Saccharomyces cerevisiae S288C: one gene and its partner. Changing the gene in region 1 together with any one later gene gives a genetic interaction. Each region holds a gene or a part of one and is shown in the gene's direction. Other genes may lie near its edges.

Region 1 (5,425 bases):
AGAGTTGCAATTTTAGTACGTAATTTTGTGTACTGTCTCTGTCAGGGAGCTTTCTTGGTACAGCCGCTTTCGATTCAGCCGCAGACAGTGCAGTAGAAGGAGCAGACTGATGATAGTTTGGTAAATACTTGACTCTCTGGTCTGAATCCGCAGCGTACGAGGCGATCCTTTGAATGTCCTTCGTGGGCTGTACAAAGTTTTTTGTTGTTACCTTCTGTTGCTGCTGGCGGTGATGCAAGGAGGGAATATGAGAATCGCTGAACCTTCTTGCTATGAACTGATGGTTGTTGTTGCTAGGCGACAGGTTATGTACACACTGATAAAGGTCGTAAATGTTCATAGAATTAGACAGCCTCTGTTGTCTTTTAGACATGAAGTCCCCGAACAGGTCTGTATTACAAGCCCCCTCGTTATGTAACTTCTCTCTTGGTGAGCACGATTCCGAAAATTCAGAGTCGTTATCGTTGATATTGAGCACCGTTTTAATGAACTCATGTTTCTTATTAGGAGTGGGAGATCTGTTACTCTCCAGAAAATAGTCGTCATGATGGCCACCACTTCCGGCACCGCTTCTCATATCCTCCCCCTCTTCCTCCTGAATAGCCTTGTAATGGATGGTTAGATGGGCAGATATGGGTCTATTGCTACTGCTACTCAGCATGGTTATATTCTGTTGTCTTCTTTACTTTAAGGCGAAAGGTCAGACAATATGCATATATATATATAGTCTTCGAATGCACGGCAAAAATGATATGAAGAGCTATGCTACAGTATATACTTCTTTGTTATTGCAATCAACGTGAGCCTTAACCAATGAGGAAGTAAGAAGGAAATAAGAAGTAAGACATAAAATAAAACTACAAAAAAGAAAGAAGATCCGCAAAAACCCAAGAACAGCATTGTAAGTACTACCATCTATATAGATCGAATATCCTACTAATATATAGTAACTGCCACACGAAAAACTGTGGGTGTAAAGACTATTCATAGCCATTCTCTGCTGCTTTGTTGCATCGTATCATCGCCCGTTTCAGCCAGTCCCGCATACCCCCTTTGCAACGTTAACGTTACCGCTAGCGTTTACCATCTCCACGCTAAAAGGAAAACGAAGATTAAGATAAAGTTGGGTAAAATCCGGGGTAAGAGGCAAGGGGGTAGAGAAAAAAAAACCGGAGTCATTATATACGATACCGTCCAGGGTAAGACAGTGATTTCTAGCTTCCACTTTTTTCAATTTCTTTTTTTCGTTCCAAATGGCGTCCACCCGTACATCCGGAATCTGACGGCACAAGAGCCGATTAGTGGAAGCCACGGTTACGTGATTGCGGTTTTTTTTTCCTACGTATAACGCTATGACGGTAGTTGAATGTTAAAAACGAAAACAGAGATATTGAATTGATCAATTTGATCAGTACGTATGTAATCTTTTGTTTGCCATGTTAAATCGGCCTTTTTTTCCATCCGGTCTTTATCTACCATTCATTTATTACATCGCAATGAAGTCTCTCGCTTCATGTTGTTGTTTTTTTTCCTGCCTTTTTTTTATCCGCTCTCATTCTTATTTTTCCTACTTGCATTTTATAAAACAATAATATTTTTTTCTTCTTTTTGTCCTTTATTTATTACTTCCTTGATTAAAAGCTTCTTATCTTCGGTTTCATAAAGAAGAAAATTCCTTTTTTTTTTTTTTTTTCCTTCTTCTTGCTTAAAAGCCTTTCTTATACCTCATTTGAACAATAGAACTAGATTTAGAGACTAGTTTAGCATTGGCCAAGAACTAACCATACGCAATGACTGTTACTACTCCTTTTGTGAATGGTACTTCTTATTGTACCGTCACTGCATATTCCGTTCAATCTTATAAAGCTGCCATAGATTTTTACACCAAGTTTTTGTCATTAGAAAACCGCTCTTCTCCAGATGAAAACTCCACTTTATTGTCTAACGATTCCATCTCTTTGAAGATCCTTCTACGTCCTGATGAAAAAATCAATAAAAATGTTGAGGCTCATTTGAAGGAATTGAACAGTATTACCAAGACTCAAGACTGGAGATCACATGCCACCCAATCCTTGGTATTTAACACTTCCGACATCTTGGCAGTCAAGGACACTCTAAATGCTATGAACGCTCCTCTTCAAGGCTACCCAACAGAACTATTTCCAATGCAGTTGTACACTTTGGACCCATTAGGTAACGTTGTTGGTGTTACTTCTACTAAGAACGCAGTTTCAACCAAGCCAACTCCACCACCAGCACCAGAAGCTTCTGCTGAGTCTGGTCTTTCCTCTAAAGTTCACTCTTACACTGATTTGGCTTACCGTATGAAAACCACCGACACCTATCCATCTCTGCCAAAGCCATTGAACAGGCCTCAAAAGGCAATTGCCGTCATGACTTCCGGTGGTGATGCTCCAGGTATGAACTCTAACGTTAGAGCCATCGTGCGTTCCGCTATCTTCAAAGGTTGTCGTGCCTTTGTTGTCATGGAAGGTTATGAAGGTTTGGTTCGTGGTGGTCCAGAATACATCAAGGAATTCCACTGGGAAGACGTCCGTGGTTGGTCTGCTGAAGGTGGTACCAACATTGGTACTGCCCGTTGTATGGAATTCAAGAAGCGCGAAGGTAGATTATTGGGTGCCCAACATTTGATTGAGGCCGGTGTCGATGCTTTGATCGTTTGTGGTGGTGACGGTTCTTTGACTGGTGCTGATCTGTTTAGATCAGAATGGCCTTCTTTGATCGAGGAATTGTTGAAAACAAACAGAATTTCCAACGAACAATACGAAAGAATGAAGCATTTGAATATTTGCGGTACTGTCGGTTCTATTGATAACGATATGTCCACCACGGATGCTACTATTGGTGCTTACTCTGCCTTGGACAGAATCTGTAAGGCCATCGATTACGTTGAAGCCACTGCCAACTCTCACTCAAGAGCTTTCGTTGTTGAAGTTATGGGTAGAAACTGTGGTTGGTTAGCTTTATTAGCTGGTATCGCCACTTCCGCTGACTATATCTTTATTCCAGAGAAGCCAGCCACTTCCAGCGAATGGCAAGATCAAATGTGTGACATTGTCTCCAAGCACAGATCAAGGGGTAAGAGAACCACCATTGTTGTTGTTGCAGAAGGTGCTATCGCTGCTGACTTGACCCCAATTTCTCCAAGCGACGTCCACAAAGTTCTAGTTGACAGATTAGGTTTGGATACAAGAATTACTACCTTAGGTCACGTTCAAAGAGGTGGTACTGCTGTTGCTTACGACCGTATCTTGGCTACTTTACAAGGTCTTGAGGCCGTTAATGCCGTTTTGGAATCCACTCCAGACACCCCATCACCATTGATTGCTGTTAACGAAAACAAAATTGTTCGTAAACCATTAATGGAATCCGTCAAGTTGACCAAAGCAGTTGCAGAAGCCATTCAAGCTAAGGATTTCAAGAGAGCTATGTCTTTAAGAGACACTGAGTTCATTGAACATTTAAACAATTTCATGGCTATCAACTCTGCTGACCACAACGAACCAAAGCTACCAAAGGACAAGAGACTGAAGATTGCCATTGTTAATGTCGGTGCTCCAGCTGGTGGTATCAACTCTGCCGTCTACTCGATGGCTACTTACTGTATGTCCCAAGGTCACAGACCATACGCTATCTACAATGGTTGGTCTGGTTTGGCAAGACATGAAAGTGTTCGTTCTTTGAACTGGAAGGATATGTTGGGTTGGCAATCCCGTGGTGGTTCTGAAATCGGTACTAACAGAGTCACTCCAGAAGAAGCAGATCTAGGTATGATTGCTTACTATTTCCAAAAGTACGAATTTGATGGTTTGATCATCGTTGGTGGTTTCGAAGCTTTTGAATCTTTACATCAATTAGAGAGAGCAAGAGAAAGTTATCCAGCTTTCAGAATCCCAATGGTCTTGATACCAGCTACTTTGTCTAACAATGTTCCAGGTACTGAATACTCTTTGGGTTCTGATACCGCTTTGAATGCTCTAATGGAATACTGTGATGTTGTTAAACAATCCGCTTCTTCAACCAGAGGTAGAGCCTTCGTTGTCGATTGTCAAGGTGGTAACTCAGGCTATTTGGCCACTTACGCTTCTTTGGCTGTTGGTGCTCAAGTCTCTTATGTCCCAGAAGAAGGTATTTCTTTGGAGCAATTGTCCGAGGATATTGAATACTTAGCTCAATCTTTTGAAAAGGCAGAAGGTAGAGGTAGATTTGGTAAATTGATTTTGAAGAGTACAAACGCTTCTAAGGCTTTATCAGCCACTAAATTGGCTGAAGTTATTACTGCTGAAGCCGATGGCAGATTTGACGCTAAGCCAGCTTATCCAGGTCATGTACAACAAGGTGGTTTGCCATCTCCAATTGATAGAACAAGAGCCACTAGAATGGCCATTAAAGCTGTCGGCTTCATCAAAGACAACCAAGCTGCCATTGCTGAAGCTCGTGCTGCCGAAGAAAACTTCAACGCTGATGACAAGACCATTTCTGACACTGCTGCTGTCGTTGGTGTTAAGGGTTCACATGTCGTTTACAACTCCATTAGACAATTGTATGACTATGAAACTGAAGTTTCCATGAGAATGCCAAAGGTCATTCACTGGCAAGCTACCAGACTCATTGCTGACCATTTGGTTGGAAGAAAGAGAGTTGATTAAAAGAAAATGACCTTTTATTACACTTTCTATTATTAATGTCAATTAATGTTAACCCATGTTTTTCTTTTGTGTCTATAATTCTTTTTTTTTATCTCTAAGCTTTTGAACAATGAATTTTTTGTTCCTTTCTTTTAATAATACAAGTACTACCCCATGAAACCAATATTATCATGCATTTTTATGAATGTCAAGAATAAAGATACTGTTATTTTTTGTGTCTTATTTTTTTTCTCTTTGTTTATTTAAACGTTTTCTAAAATTAAAACTTATGTATACTGGAATATGTGATATAGACGATTTAAAAGATAATTCCAATAAACGTCCCTCGGATCTCATATTTATAAAGGTACCCTTTTAATACAATATTTATACATGTGCGTTAAATACTTTGTTCTCTTATTATCTATGAACTTATCACGAAGAACGGAGATGTAAACAAAAAGAGTGAATGAACTATGAACTTTAAATTACCTTATTACGGAGGAAGTATTCCTTCACCTATGAAGGATACAAGGTCTACATTTTTCGTCTGATAACTCTCAGGAAATTAAACAAAGTGGTATGGTTTTATCAAGGGGAGAAACAAAGAAAAATAGCGTGAGATTAACGGCAAAACAAGAAAAGAAACCTCAATCTACGTTTCAAACTTTAAAACAGTCACTTAAACTTAGCAACAATAAAAAGTTGAAACAGGATTCGACCCAACACTCAAACGATACAAATAAATCTGTTAAAGCCAAAAAAAATGGCACGTC
Region 2 (3,066 bases), on another chromosome or scaffold:
CTATCTTTGACAACGGGAGAAATCAATTCTGGTAGCCTGCCATTAGCACAGTCTTTTTGGAAATACAAAGGCGTTATGTTTCTCCTGTTCAACTTTGTTCTTTTCATCAAACGGGACATATCGGATAATTGGTTTTCGACTTGTACATCTGCAGGTAAGTTGATAGCTTTGAATTTGTTAGATGATAAAGCAGCGTTACCTGATGCAGAAGAAACTTTGGTAGACCACTTGTTTAATACGGCAGTCCTGTACTCTTTTAGTTCTGAGTCTAAGCTATTAGTTTCTTGGTAAAGCTCTTTGAGAGATCTTTTTTTGGACAATTTATGCTTCGCCACCTCTTCATTTTGAGTGATATGATCGCCAAGTTGGAATTTTATTCTGAAATTTATCAACCGATTGAATAAATTATTGAACAGTTTTTCGTTTTCCTTCAGCAAACGCTTTGTTTCCTCTGAATCATCCATTTTAGCCTCTTCCCAGGACTCTGTAGTTAATGGGAGCTTATTTGCTGCAATTACAGCTTTTTGTAGTTTTATTCTCAAATCAATGATGTTGTCAAATAATTTTGTCTGTTGTAAAATGGAATAACCCTTCGAAGCATCTCTTTGAACTGATTGAGACAGTTTGTTAATAGCTTGTTTAGTCTCTTGTTGAATTAGTTTCGATAGTGCATGCCTTTTCTGTTGAGCCTCCTCCGTTTCACCGCCGTCCGCGTCTGATTCTTCTTCATCAATCTCTACTTCTTCATCTTCAGAATCTGTCCTGAATGAAAGAGCATCTTCCTCTTTTTCTTCTTCCTCTTCTTCTTCTTCTTCTTCGTCCTCATTCTCGGAAACTTCTTCATATAATGCTTGTCTTGAACCTTTAACACCTGTATATTTTGGATCGTTTAGTTCTAAACCTTTTTCTGCTCTTAACTTAGACTTTTCCACCTCCAAATAGTGCGCCTTCTTGGTTTCTTCTGTGTTGCTATTTCCATAGTCGCTTAAATCACTTTCTCCATTTTTTTCATTGTGTTGAAATAAAGATGCATTTTCCTCATCTTCAATATCGAAGTCTTTATTGACCGGTTTAATGGCGATATCGGAAATTTGATCCGCTAGTGATTTTTCCATCTTTTTTTGCTCTATATTTATTGGTAACAGTGCTTATTGTTACTCAATGTATGGTACGCTGCATACCTATCAAGATGCGACTACATATATACAATTATCTCATCTCATCGCGTATTGAAAAATTTTCCATCTTCTAATTTTTCAGAACCCATAAATTCGGGTAACGATCAGTGGAAAAAACTTAAATCCGCAGTAATAGGCTTGCAAAGGACCAAAGACAGCATATGCAGCAGTTAAGAAATCTAAGAATGCATTGTATATTAGAGTAGTATATGGAAAAGCTCGGACTGGGAGCCGTAAAATCTCTTTCCCGTAAGATCTGGCTGCAAACCTGGTCTACATAAATGTAGTACATTATAAGGGACTACCAAGAAATACGAAGCGCTCAGATATCTCTTAAAGTTCATTTTTTTGCCGGAATAATCTTGGTTTAGTAACTTATAAAACTACTTACGTCCAATAAATCGTTATATTTTATGCCGTCGTCATAAAGTGGACACTTTCGAGAGACGGTGCTGGCCAATAAGATGCTGATATTTGAAATATCATTTACCCGGGCCCGGGTGGGAAAAACAAGGAATTAAAGATAATGAAGTGATCTTTTGGCGAGATAGTAAAACTTTCAATTATCTAGGAACAATTTCAAACGCCAATTGTTAACTTTGTGTACAGTATTTCTAGTTTTTATCTCATTGAAAACAAAATTCAGTCAACTTGGAAATTTAAGCAGGCTACTGTGGCATTGAGATATTTTTCCGCAGAGTAAGAACCGATTAGCAAGTTACCGCATTATTTTTAAACCGTGGACAATCATGTTTAATAGAGTCTTTACCAGGTCATTTGCATCAAGCTTAAGAGCTGCTGCTTCCAAAGCTGCTGCTCCCCCACCGGTGAGATTGTTCGGTGTTGAGGGCACTTACGCAACAGCTTTATATCAGGCCGCTGCAAAGAACTCCTCTATTGATGCTGCCTTTCAATCTTTGCAAAAAGTTGAAAGCACAGTCAAAAAGAATCCAAAATTAGGTCACTTATTACTGAATCCTGCATTGTCATTGAAGGACAGAAATTCTGTCATTGATGCCATCGTGGAGACTCACAAGAATTTGGATGGTTATGTCGTTAACCTATTGAAGGTTCTTTCCGAAAATAACAGACTGGGATGTTTTGAAAAAATTGCGTCTGACTTTGGCGTTTTAAACGATGCTCACAACGGGTTACTTAAAGGTACAGTGACTAGTGCTGAACCATTGGATCCTAAATCTTTCAAGAGGATTGAAAAAGCTTTGAGCGCCTCCAAATTGGTGGGGCAAGGTAAATCTTTGAAGCTGGAAAACGTGGTTAAGCCAGAGATTAAGGGTGGTTTGATTGTAGAACTTGGTGACAAGACTGTTGACTTAAGCATTTCTACAAAGATTCAAAAACTGAATAAGGTCTTAGAGGACAGCATTTAACGTTAATAATATAGTTGGATATGCTCAACTCGTTTGATGTTACTTTCTTTGCCTCCCTCCTAATTTTTGATTCTGTTCAAATATATATTCTTTTCCGTGAATTTTTCCTAAACATCAAAATTACGTACATATACGAATAAATAAGAAACCCCTCTAAAAAGTGAATTTTTTTGTTCGAGACAACCATTTTAATCATATATATGTTCGTGTATCCAGGCAAACTTATATTAATCGCAAAAAAAAAAATTATAAGTGTATATATGGAATAAACATAAAAAATAATAAAAGAAGAAAAAAAAAAATAATGAAGAATTCTCATCAGTTTTCGAAGATTTCAAGAAAGTCCGAAGAACATTTAAGACCTTTTTGATAATTCAAGATGTGCATGCACAATAATAACCATTTCATAGTTGAATTTTGATGTATTCTTTCGTTACAAATCAAATATATAGTCAAAGTCACGCCTATACACTTAATAATATGTCTTGATGTATATAAAT

What was found. A genetic interaction does not mean that the proteins touch.
Region 2: mutations in PFK2 (region 1) and ATP5 together harm fitness more than expected from each alone (negative genetic interaction), as found in Saccharomyces cerevisiae (2 studies listed by BioGRID).

The regions. Positions count from the first base shown.
Region 1 is NC_001145.3:671,132-676,556, reverse strand, and holds PFK2 (6-phosphofructokinase subunit beta), read left to right. Parts: upstream 1-1,790; coding exon 1,791-4,670; downstream 4,671-5,425. Other genes in the region: YMR206W (uncharacterized protein), read right to left, coding at 1-661; INP1 (Inp1p), read left to right, coding at 5,232-5,425. UniProt on the Saccharomyces cerevisiae protein: Catalyzes the phosphorylation of D-fructose 6-phosphate to fructose 1,6-bisphosphate by ATP, the first committing step of glycolysis.
Region 2 is NC_001136.10:1,057,676-1,060,741, reverse strand, and holds ATP5 (F1F0 ATP synthase subunit 5), read left to right. Parts: upstream 1-1,927; coding exon 1,928-2,566; downstream 2,567-3,066. Other genes in the region: rRNA-processing protein BFR2, read right to left, coding at 1-1,115. UniProt on the Saccharomyces cerevisiae protein: Mitochondrial membrane ATP synthase (F(1)F(0) ATP synthase or Complex V) produces ATP from ADP in the presence of a proton gradient across the membrane which is generated by electron transport complexes of the respiratory chain.